Linked DNA regions of Cricetulus griseus. The protein of the gene in region 2 binds, or shares a complex with, the protein of the main gene of each other region. Links are inferred from orthologs where the notes say so. Each region holds a gene or a part of one and is shown on either strand. Other genes may lie near its edges. The genes, in order: Ddx19b, Gle1 and Nup42.

What was found.
Region 1: the proteins of Gle1 (region 2) and Ddx19b are in contact, whole or in part, in a crystal structure (PDB 6B4J), measured with the Homo sapiens proteins. The link is inferred for Cricetulus griseus from reciprocal best matches to the Homo sapiens genes GLE1 and DDX19B. Residues at the interface, in NP_001003722.1 of Homo sapiens: Lys416, Lys419, Met420, Gln423, Lys424, Thr427, Ile428, Ser431, Gln432, Ile433, Ser434, Thr435, Ile436, Lys440, Gln458, Ser459, Gly460, Lys479, Lys483, Lys486, Gln487, Glu490, Glu491, Ser494, His495, Gln554, Gln562, Asn565; in NP_009173.1 of Homo sapiens: Cys325, Asn326, Tyr328, Gly329, Ala330, Ile331, Thr332, Ile333, Ala334, Glu356, Gly357, His358, Gln359, Arg378, Arg380, Glu381, Gly382, Lys383, Glu384, Lys385, Glu400, Gln401, Ser403, Phe433, Gly434, Lys435, Arg436, Asp469, Asp470, Leu471.
Region 3: the proteins of Gle1 (region 2) and Nup42 are in contact, whole or in part, in a crystal structure (PDB 6B4I), measured with the Homo sapiens proteins. The link is inferred for Cricetulus griseus from reciprocal best matches to the Homo sapiens genes GLE1 and NUP42. Residues at the interface, in NP_001003722.1 of Homo sapiens: Ile385, Ile593, Leu598, Asn599, Trp602, Arg603, Ala606, Gln607, Leu609, Asn610, Gln636, Tyr637, Gln638, Val639, Gln640, Lys643, Met644, Ile646, Leu647, Glu650, Asp651, Tyr652; in NP_001357375.1 of Homo sapiens: Asp185, Asn186, Val187, Leu188, Phe189, Gln202, Phe203, Gln204, Ser205, Lys206, Lys207, Phe208, Leu210, Gly211, Lys212, Ile213, Pro214, Leu215, Lys216, Pro217, Pro218, Leu222, Leu223, Asn224, Val225.

Annotation. Positions count from the first base shown.
Region 1 is NC_048596.1:187,430,995-187,435,073, forward strand, and holds the start of Ddx19b (ATP-dependent RNA helicase DDX19B), read right to left. Parts: upstream 2,843-4,079; 5' UTR 2,746-2,842; coding exon 2,689-2,745; intron 1-2,688. UniProt on the Homo sapiens protein: ATP-dependent RNA helicase involved in mRNA export from the nucleus.
Region 2 is NC_048599.1:141,609,882-141,613,496, forward strand, and holds part of Gle1 (nucleoporin GLE1), read left to right. Parts: intron 1-1,481; coding exon 1,482-1,713; intron 1,714-2,403; coding exon 2,404-2,516; intron 2,517-2,679; coding exon 2,680-2,749; intron 2,750-3,615. UniProt on the Homo sapiens protein: Required for the export of mRNAs containing poly(A) tails from the nucleus into the cytoplasm. May be involved in the terminal step of the mRNA transport through the nuclear pore complex (NPC).
Region 3 is NC_048601.1:92,376,259-92,380,397, forward strand, and holds the start of Nup42 (nucleoporin NUP42), read right to left. Parts: upstream 2,820-4,139; 5' UTR 2,732-2,819; coding exon 2,587-2,731; intron 1,444-2,586; coding exon 1,218-1,443; intron 1-1,217.

The DNA.
Region 1 (4,079 bases), on a different chromosome or scaffold from region 2:
TCTGCCACCACACCTGAAGACTTGAGTTCAATCCTCAGGACCTACATGGTACAAGGAAAGAAGCAATTCCACCAGTTGTCTTCTGGCTCCCATATTCGTGCTATGGCAAGACCTCCCCTCCCCACCACACATACACACACACACACACACACACACACACACACACACACACACACACACACACACACAAAGCCAGATACATGTAATTTTAAAAATTTAAAGAGCTAGTCATGGTGGCATATGCCTTTAGTCCCAGCCCTTGTGAGGCAGAAGCAGGTGAATCTCTGTAAGTTCAAAGCCAACCTAGCATAAATAGTGAGTTCCAGGACAACCAGGGCTATGTAGAGAGACCCAGTCTCAAAAAAAAAAAAAAAAAAAAAAAAAAGTACTTAGGAAATAATAATATAAATACAGAAAGTCCATTTAATTAAAAGATAACATTTTAATCAAAACTGGGATCTTGGCCTGGTAGCTCAAACCTGTAATCCTCAAACTGGGGGAAACTGAGGTAGAAGGACTGCTGAAAATTAAATTCCAGGGGAGGGGGTGGCTCAGAGGTTAAGAGCACTGGCTGCTTTTCCAGAGGTCCTGAGTTCAATTCCCAGCAACCACATGGTAACTCCCAGCCATCTGTAATGAGATTTGGTATCCAAGCAGACATGCAGAGAGAACACTGTACACATAATAAATAAATATTTAAAAAAAAGAAGAAAATTAAATTCCAGTTGGGCTATATAGTGAGTTAAAGTTTGTAATATATGCTAACATACATAAAATTACATGCAATCAATAAAATTGTCTTAATTTTTTAAAAGAAGTGCAAAAATAAACCCCCAAGGCCCAAACTGTTCAATTAATGAATGGGCCAATAACCAAGTAGATAATCCCCCCCACAAAAAAAGAAAAGAAAAAGAAATATGAGGCTGGGAATGTAGCTCAGTTGGTAGAGTGCTTGCCTACCACACAGGAAACTCTTAAGTTCAGTTCCACAAACTGCATGAACTGTGCATGACAACTATGCATTCCTGTAACCCCAGCACTTGGGAAATGTTAACCAGATCAGTTAATGAAGCCAATACAGAAATCAGTACAGACATTAACAAAACAAAACTGATAATAGAACATGATCCAGCTATACCACTCTTGTGTATTCAAAGGATGAAAGACAAAGTCAACATACTACAGAGATACTTACACATCTGTATTTATAGCTACACAGCCAGGAAATGGAACTAGCCTAGAAGTCCATTCATAGATGAATAGATAAAGCAAATGTGGTATACAAAGTGGAATTTTATGGAACTATAGAGAAAAGTGAACTCATGTTACCTGCACAAAATGAGTACAACTGGAAATCATTATGTTAAGCAAAATAAACCAGACCAAGGAAAACAAACACATGTTTTTGCTCATAATGCAAAATTATATATATTGGTGTTTGTACACCTATTTATCTGTGTATTTATAGGTCACAAAACTAGAAAGGAGGTCATGAGGGAGGAGGAAGAGGTCTTATGGTAGGTGGGAAATAAAGTTAACAGGAAAGCAGGAGGGAGGCTACACAGGTGAAGAAAGGGAACCCAGCTGGAGGGAAGCCACCCGAGGGAGAGTAAGGGAAGGACAAAGAATCATACACATATGTATAAAGATGCTATGGTGAAACCTAGCACTTTGTATATTAATTTTTAAAAAGGCTACAGAGAAACCATGTCTCAAGGAAAAAAAAGAAAAAGAAAAAAGAACACTTTTCTCAAACAGGGCACAGTGATGCAGGCCTGTGATCCTAGCACTCAGGACATAAGAGACAGAGGATCAGGAGTTCCAGTCAGTCAGTCATTCATACATACATACATACATACATACATACATACATACATACATTCATTCAAGGTCCTCTGTCTCAGAAAAGAAAAAATTAAAAATACCCAAATAAGTGAACAAAGTCCAAAACACTACTTCTCTTTAAACCATGTGGGTAAATAATTATATTACTATATATATTATAATAAAAGTTTTAAGCTAAACTAAATATTTTTTCTTTCAGGGTGGCCTTCAACTTGAGGCAATCTTCCTGCCTATGCCTCTAAGAGATATGATGAGAGGTGCCAGATCATGCCAGGCTGAAACCTTTACTCTTTACTAAAAAAAAGTTAAATCGGACAAATACTTATTCTTGGAAAATACACAGATATATGTACTGAGAGTCACATTCAAATCTCTACTAAATTTCAGAATGTTTGTAAATTACTTGTACATAGCAATATTTAACTCACGTCTTGCTACAATGTATCAGGCTAAGAAAAAGAGCTAATCAAGAGAGGATTTACTGCCAAACCAGTCAATCATCCAGCACCAATAACCCAGTGGGAGGAGTTATAAATGAGTAAGACATGGTCCGTGAGCCCAAGAAACTTGTATCTGAAGCTACATAAAAATTGCCATCCGAGGTTGTGAGTGCAATCGATTATCAACCCTGATTCCAGGAAGACAGGCAGATGGCTGGATCACCCAAATTGAGTTTATACAACGTGGGAGGGGCTGGGTAAGCAAAGCCAGCTTTGGGGCCAAGTCCCATTCCCGCCAGGCTCCTCCGCCCTGCACCGAGCAACCTAAACAGTGTCTTTCCAAGAGACCGCGATCCTGACCGGCACTGGTCCCATGGTCCTCCAGCGGCTGGTGACAACTCACCGACTCAGCCGCGGCTTCCTGTTCGTCCACCGCTAGGGCCCATGAATCCGTGGCCATGGTCCCCAGTGCCGGGGCAGTGCTGACAGGCTCGCCCGATTAGGCGGCGCGGCCGTGGGCTCAGGTGGGTCGCGGCGAGGCCCAGCTCCGCCCCGGGGGAAATCATTCACTGAGGCGCAGACGACCGGAAGCGGCGCACCGCGGTGTCGTCAGAGCCCGCGTCAGCTCTGCGCCCCTAAAGTCCTGGCAACTCTAAGGTAGTCTTCAGGTCCCCGCCTCTACCACTTCGCTGCAGATTGCCCTACTACCCAACTGAGGTAGCCTAGACTAAATGCTCTCTGACTAAAGGAGGGAAATCACCTTCACACCCAGCATGGTGGTATAGAGGGGCTCATATAACTATTACATTCAGAATACATAAGCAAGCAAATAGCTGTTTTAACTTTTCAGGTTATTTAAAATGCCTCAGCTTACTTAGTGTCTGTTCTTATCAATTTAATAAGATTTCTAAGTATTGGCAATCAGTCCTGTGAAACAAAGATCTGTCCCAAATTGAGTTTTGAAAACACCAAATTCTTGATAAATTGAAAATTTTGGTAAAATATCAGAAACCAGAAAGAGTAAGTCAGTTTATCCAACCAATCCAATTCAATCCCTGGTGGCAAGAGCCATTTAATAAGGAAATATATGGATTTTGGAATCATCTATGCCTTCTTCGGATGGCCAGCTCTCCTCTCCTATGTAAAGGCTGTGTAGCTGGAGTTTTATTTATTTCGTTTTGGATAATTACAAAAAAAACTTGCTTATTTTATGTGTATGAGTGTTTTGCTTGCATGCCTTTGTGCACTATATGTGTATCTGGAGCCCAGAAAAGTCAGAAGAGGGCATTGGATACCCAGAAGTGGAGTTATGGATAGTTGTGAACTATCATGTTGGTGTTGGGAATTGAACCCAGGTCCTCTGCAAGAGCAGCAAGCACCCTTAACCTCTAAGCCATCTCTTCAGCCTTAGTTTTGGATAATTTTTATTTTATTTTGGTTTGGTTTTTTGAGGCAGGGTTTCTCTGTGTAGCTTTGGAGCCCTGGATAATCTTTAAGAGGAGGAAATAGCTCTAGTTTTTAGAATAGTAAAATAAGGACTGAAATACTTGCTTTCCCCTAACTGGGATCAAATAGGCCTTTATCCCTGGCTACTTCTTGGAAGGAATTGGAGAATTTTCTTGGAACTTTATGAAAACATTTTACTAATATTACATGACAAATTAATGTCAAGCAATGGTGAGTACGTAAGGATGGTGCAGGCAGAGGACAACCAAGCACAGGCTGGGAGCCATGACCATATTGCGAGTCAGAAGAAATCCTGGGGAAAAATCAACTAGAAAAAAATTTGAGGTT
Region 2 (3,615 bases):
TGTCCTGGAACTCCATCTGTAGATCAGCCTGGCCTCGAACTCACAGAGATCTGCCTGCCTCTGCCTCTGCCTCTTGAGTGCTGGGATTAAAGGCATGCGCCACCAACACTCGACTGCAAAAGTTCTCTGACTTTCATGATTACATCTGTAAGCCCACAAGCACACACACACACACAGTGTAATCTTTTACCAAAAACAAAAGATGAAATAGAATTTTGAATACTTATGAATCACCACTAATAGATGTTTTACAAATTACAGCTTTTTATTTGTTACTGAGGCAATACAGCCCAGGCTGACCTCAAACTCAATGCCTCCTTTTAACTTGTTTTGCTGGATCAAAGACCTGCACCCAGCTCTAATCAGCATGTTTAACTAGCATATTGTTGTAACTCCCACCACCTACCTTTGTTTTTGTTCTTTTTGACTGTGTGTGTGTGTGTGTGTGTGTGTGTGTGTGTGTGTGTGTGTGTTTGTGTGTTTCCATGGAGGTTAGTAGTGGACCTGGAGTTCTATGTGGTTGTGAGCCACCTGACAAAGTTGCCAGGAACCAAACCCAGATGATCTGCAAGATTAGCAAGTGCTCTTAACCGCTGAACCATTTCTGTAGCCGCCTGTTTTTTGTTTTGTTTTGTTTTTGTTTTGTTGTTTGTGAGAGGATCTTACGATATAGTCTACATGGCTTCGAACTTAAGGCATTGTTCCTCCTACATCAGCCTTTTGAGTGCTAGGATTACTGGCATATGCACCATATACTTGGTTTTGTCACAAACTTTTTTTTAAAAAGATTGCTCTGGTTGGGTGGTGGTGGCACATGCCTTTAATCCCAGCACTTGGGAGGCAGAGGCAGGTGGATCTCTGTGAGTTCGATGTCAGCTTGGTTTATGGAGTAAGTTCTAGGACAGGCTCCAAAACTACACAGAGAAACCCTGTTTTGAACCACGCCCCAAAAAAAAGAAAGAAAAAAGAAAAAAGGTTGCTCCATTGTTGGTTGCTATGGATGTGATTAGGATAAACCTTTTGTTGTAGTTGTGTGCGTGTGTGCCCGCACACATGTGTGGAAGTCAGAGGACAATTGTGTGGGGTCAGTTCTCTCTTATTGTTGTGGAGGTTCCAGGTATTAAATTCTGTCAGAGTTGCTAAGCAAGTACCTTTACCTACTGAACTATCTCAATGGCAATTTTTTTTTTTTTTTTTTTTTTTTTTTGACGCAGTCTCACTGTGTAGCCCTGGCTTGTCTCAGAGTTGTAGCAATCTTCCTGCCTCTATCTCTCAGGTGCTAAGATCACAGACATGAGTCACCACTCGCAGCTCTATGATAGTAAATCTTTAAGAGAACAGAAAAAGAGTAGGTATCAATATTTGATCATGTATATACCTTGGTCCAACAGTTTTACTTCAGCAATGTATTGTGTGGTGTGAGTTAGCCCCACAATGGTACCTAGGAAATGAATGTTAAATATTGTCTCTCACTTTGACAGAGTGGTTATCCCACAGCAGAGAACCAAGCTGAGGCTGAGAAAACCCTGCAGGAAATGCGGGACCTCCTCTCAAATTTGGAGCAGGAAATCACCAGAGCCTATGAAGTCAAGAAGAAGCAGGATGAAGAGGAGGCCCGGGCCAAGATGCAAGAATCACAGGTGCAGCAAGGTTCAGGGGCTCCCACCCAGCCCCCAGTGCACAGTCCAGGCCCAGCAGTGACACAGAATGAAGGTAAGTGTGAATGCAGTCCTTCAACTGTTTAAGTGTCAGGATATTTAAGGCAAAACAAACATATGTGTGAGAGACAGAGACAGAGACAACAGAGACACAGACTGAGAGAGACAGAGGGAGAATGTGTTACACTACAGAATGGCCCAGTTCATCAGAATTTTTACATAATGTGTTTTAGTTGATCTGGAACCAATTTCAGATTCTAGCACTTTCCACAGGGACATTAAAAGGCTGTTTATGTCTAATGGGTATGTTATTCCAAATATTGCTACTGCTACGTATTTTATTTTAAAAGAATTGCTTGTAGCTGGAGAGATGGCTCAGAGGTTAAGAGCACCACCTGAGTTTCAGTCATGGCAACCACATGGCAACCCACAACCATCTGTAATGAGATCTGGTTTATATTAAGTATTATGTACAGAGAACCTTGTTTAATATGTTTGAGGATCACATAGCAATGTGTTTAGCCAGACAGTGGAATCTGTTTCTACTTGTATATCAGTTTGACCTTAGCAAACAACCTTTTTGTGTCTGTGTCTTTACTCATTAAATGGAAATAGTAGAAGTCTCTACTTCATAGTTGATTGTGACCACTAAAACAGCCAATGCATAGTGCGGTGCATAGAATAGTCAAAGCTTATGTGGCATGTTAAGTAAGCTCACTGCCATTAAGGCCTGTCTTATTCTCAGACCTGCAGGTGAAGGTACAAGATAGTACCATGCAGTGGTATCAGCAACTTCAGGATGCTTCTGCCAAATGTGTGTTGGCCTTTGAGGGCCTGACCAGCAGCAAGGACAGTCAGGTAGGGGAGAGTTGGATGGCAACAATTCTTGTGGTATGCCCCACAGCCTGAGCCCCACAGCCTGACATTCTAAAAGAATGTACTTATGTCATGTTCCTTCATCCTAAAGGCATGGGCTCAGCTACTTAAAACCATCTGTCATGTCACCATTCTCTTTTGGCAGGCTAAAAAGATAAAGATGGACTTGCAGAAGGCAGCCACCATCCCAGTGAGCCAGATCTCCACCATTGCAGGTGGGTCAATGGTTCACTTCGTTTCATTTTTGCAAACTGATTGCTTTGAGGTTGTTATACAAAGTGTGTTTTCAGGGCTTGGGATGTGGCTTAGTGGCAGAGTACTTGCCAAGTATGAGCAAGGGCCTGGGACCAATCTCTACTAACACACACACACACACACACACACACACACACACACACACACACACGCACAGTTCAAATTTGTGTTGGTTGCACACATTTTTTTTCTCTTCAAACAGAAGATTGATGTGATGAGTCCAGTAGTGCAGGTCTGTAATCCCAGCTGGTTGAGGGAAGGCCAGAGGATCATAAATTCAAGAACAACCTGTATGAAGTGTAATGCACTAAGAACTTATCTCAAAAGGAGAAAGTCCGGAGACACTGGGGATGCAACTAGTAGAACACTCAGGCCTGTACTAGGCCTAAGGCAATACTCAGTAGCATAGAAAGAAAAAAATAAATATTTATTGTCTCTCTTTGGAGGGGTTCAAATGATTTTATTGAGAAGCTGGGAGGTGGGGGAGCTAGGTAGGCTCATTTATTTATTTGTATTTGTTTGTTTTAGTTTTTTGAGACATGATTTCTTTATGTAGCCTTGGCTGTCCTGGAACTAGCCTGTAGACCAGGCTTGCCTTGAACTCATGGAGATTCGATCTTTTTATTTTTTTTATGGTGTTGGGGGTTGAACACCACTGAGCTACTGATTCTAATTTGTTTGTTTTATTGAGTTAGTGGGCTAGCTCAGACTGTGTATCCCAGGCTGTCCATGAATCCATCTTAGCTGATGGGTGTTCTTGATTTAAGACATGTGCCACAACCCTTGTCTCATGCATGTTGTTTTAAGGGTTTTACTTCTGTGTCTG
Region 3 (4,139 bases), on a different chromosome or scaffold from region 2:
CCAATCAGCACATTGAGAGCTTGTTTCCTTTTTTTTCTTTTTAAAGATTTTATTTATTTATTATGTATACAACATTCTGCTTCCATGTATATCTGCACACCAGAAGAGGGCACAAGATTTTATAATCGATGGTTGTGAGCCACCATGTGGTTGCTGGGAATTGAACTCAGGACCTCTGGAAGAGCAGTCGGTGCTCTTAACCGCTGAGTCATCTCTCCAGCCCCGAGAACTTGCTTCTAAAACAACACCTTGTATTTTGTAGTTATAAATAATCTATAATAAGTAATAGTGTTGCTTTCTAATTCACAGAATGCCTAATAATAGTTAAGAATAATCTGAAATATAATATTTTTTAAAGAACTAAATACAACACAGTATCAGAAATACAATTTTAAAGTATTAAAATTTTTTTTTTATGTGCATTGGTGTTTTGCCTACACGTATGTCTGTGTGAAGGTGTCAGATCGTGGAGTTACAGACAGTTGTGAGCTGCCATGTGGGTGCTGGGAATTGAACCCAGGCCCTCTGGAGGAACAGTTAATTCTCTTAACCTGTGACCTCCCCCGCAACCTCACCAGCCCCCAGGTCCATGCACTGAACAGTTAATCTGAAACAAAGCTGTGGATGGAGTTGGCTCTAAATTAAAGTTTCTTTCCATCTAGAATATGACCATTAGTAAACTGATAGGTGTCACAAAGAATATGTTATTACAGTTAGAATCACAATAAACACAACTTTGCTTTCTTTACACACACACACTTGATGCTTGATCAATACACTTGAAAATTTAGGTTCGATATTCAGCAGCTGGGCGTTCTGGAGGCACAGATAATAAGATCTCTGTGAGTTCTGAGCCAGTCAGGGCTACACAAGGAGACCCTGTCTTAAAACAAAATATCCCCTTCTCCCCACCAAAAACCAAAATAAACAAACAAACAAAAACCAAAAACTGAAAATCCACTATTTATGGAACTTCAAATAGGGTAACTGAAATAAAGGATTTACAAAGAAAGTAAGTGCTATTATCAGTATCTACAGGATTACAGTTGTTCTGAGTTACCCAGCACTCTAAAGACTGCAGAGGACAATGACTAACCTTTGAAAAAATAGTTCTGCTTACTCTGATTTTCAAAATTAGTCTTTTTCAAAGAAAACACTAAGTGCTTCTGGAACAACCAAGCAACTGGGTAGTGACTTTCTACAAAACTTTAACTTACAGAAGTTTCTTTTCATCTTTCTGCTCATCAGAGACAGGTGAAGCAAAAGGATTTTGAGGCGGCGATCCAAAGCCTCTGCTCGTGGAAGGCCCAGAGTCAAAAGAGCCGAAAAATGGTTTGTCTTGATCTCTGCTGCCACCCCATGGTGTAGACTTGGAGAAGCTGGATGGCTGGATGACATTGGAGTATCTCTGGCTGTTGGCATTCCACCCACGCCTGTTACTTCCTAAATAATAAAGAAAATTAGAGTCCCAAAACTGGTAACTTTTTCAAATCTTGGAAATCCCCACTATATTTTATCTCATTATGTCCAGAAATTATACAAAGACTAATAAAGTGCTATTTTCTACCACTTTTAAATGACAATACCTTTATGATTTGTTTGTTACATGTTCTAACAAATCATGTAATATTCTAATTGCATTTAAAAAATGAGATTAAGGCCAGGTGTGTTAGTGTATGACTCTATTCACAGCACTGTGGAGGAGTGACAGGCAGATCTCTATGAGTTCTAGACCAGCCAGGGCTACATAGTGAGGCCCTATCTCAAACAAACAAACCAAACCAAAAACCCAAAACCAAACCAAACCAAACCGAACAACAAATAACAAAAATGAGACCAATAGGCTGGAGAGAGGCTCAGCAGTTAAGAGCACTGGCTTTCAGAGGACCTGTGTTCATTTCCCAGCACCCACATGGCAGCTCACAACTGTCTGTAATTCAGATTCCAGGGATCTGAGTTTGTTTGTTTGAGACAGGGCCTCACTATGTAGCCCTGGCTGGTCTAGAACTCAGAGACCTGCCTGTCACGCCTCCACAGTGCTGTGATTAGAGTCATACACTAACACACCTGGCCTCATAGAGATACACATGTAGGCAAAATACCAATGTACATAAAATAAAAAAAAATTTAAAAATAAGATCAAGAGGATTAGAAATCCATAGGAAAATAAAGATATATGCTGAGTTCAGCTTTCATAAATCTACTAAACAGGCTTTTAAAACCTTGTGTGGTGCGGCTGGTTTAATGCCTGGTTCCTTGAATACTCTTTCCTGTACGTTCTTAGCCCAGCGTCCCACCCTACCAACGAAAGCCCACATTTTAAGAGGATGCGATCAAGGACAAGGGAGGGGGAAGCAGGGCCAGAGGTCCGGACGGACCCACGCGAATTCTCCCAATCACTGCCCGGCGTCAACAAAGTGGTTTTGGTAAGATGTGCTCCTAATTGAAAGCGCAGTGTTGGCCCTGGCGCCCAGGTGCAAAGCCCGGGCTGTCTGGTGAGCCGAAAGGACTACCCGGGCGGGGCTGGGACGCGTCCTCATGCCCGGACCCTGGCCCGGACCCCGGCTCGCTCTCCGGGACGGTCACCTGAGGGCGCCGCCTGCGGCTGCTGCTGCTGCTGCTGCAGTGGCGGCTGCCGGGCTCCGCCCGCGCCCCGCGTGCCGGGATGCTCGTTCCAGCAGCGGTCTCCGAAGCGGCACCGGCCTTGAAGGAAAAACTGGCAAATGGTCATTGCAGCGCCGGCCCAGCTCCCGGTCGGTCTTCAGGTCGGTAGGGACAGCCCAGTTTCCAGCAGCCCAAGCCCCGTCGCCAATGTGACGTCATCCCCCCGCGTCCGGAGGTTCTGTGATCCGGCTCCGGTGCGGTGAGAGGCGTGGACTTCAGCCAATGGGATTTGAGAAGAGCAGACCCGTCCCGCCCAGGGGCGCTGAGCCTGGGAACAGGGCCCTCATCTGGAGGGGACCAGATGTCGCCGACAACCACCAAGGCTCTAGTTGTCTACAGTTTGCGAGGCCCAGTCGTTCTTAACATTTATTTAGACAAGAAAAGGTAAACAAGAGAGCGACTCAGAGAAAGTCAGCTGTCACTAGGAAACAGGGTGCACCCCAGGCGAAAAGCATTGTAATAAATAGCTCCTTAGCTGGTAATGTCTTCTTTCTGCACACTGAGAAATCTTGTTCGTAAAATTTCATGTAAATATTGCCTTTTGAAATTTTATCAAAAGAATTAAGGTTGTCTGGAAAACTGGCACAGAAGCAGCGCACTTTTTTCTCAGATACACAGCTTCAGATAGGGATTTTTGTAAACATTCCATTTCTTCCTCCTCCGACTCCCCCCCCCCCCTTTTTTTGAGATAGTCTTACTATGTAGCCCTGGCTGGCCTTGAAAACAGAGACCCACCTATTGGCTTCTAAGTGCTATAAACACACACACACACACACACACACACACACACACACACACACACACACACACACACACACACACACGGCACATTCCATGTATTCGCAGTTCTCAAACAGGATCCTGTATAAGTATACTATATAAGTGTGGTGATAGCTTGCTTGTACAAATAAAGCCTTTCTGAAGGTCAGAGACTGGAGCTTGTCACTAGCTAACCATAGAGGTCTGGAGGTCTGTACAGACAGACAGGAAATGAGATAGCTGGACAGAAACAAGATGTAGCAGGGAGAGAAGCTGAGATGCCGAGGTAAAGTGTGGTGGTAGCTTGCTCCTTCTTAAAGAAAAATGGAAGTGCTCTTGGAAATTAAAATTGGATAGTGGGGACAAACTGAGTTGGAGACAGCTCAGGGACTCCTAAGTACATCTTTAGTCTCATTTTACATCTTAGTTATGCCAGAGGATGGAAAGATGTCAAGCAAAATTCTAATCAGTAAGCGTAACACTTGTGATGGTTAATCTTGTCGAGTTGATTACATTTAGTATCACCATAGACACACATCTCTGGACTTCCAAGATGTTATATTTAAAATCCCCACAGATTTACCTCTGGGCATGTCTTTGAGGATGCTTCCAGTAACGTTTTACTGAGGAGAAGACACTGGGAGTGTGGGCTGCACCATTGATGGCATATATAAAAAGACATATTCAAGTTGAGCATCTATTGCTGCTTCCAGACT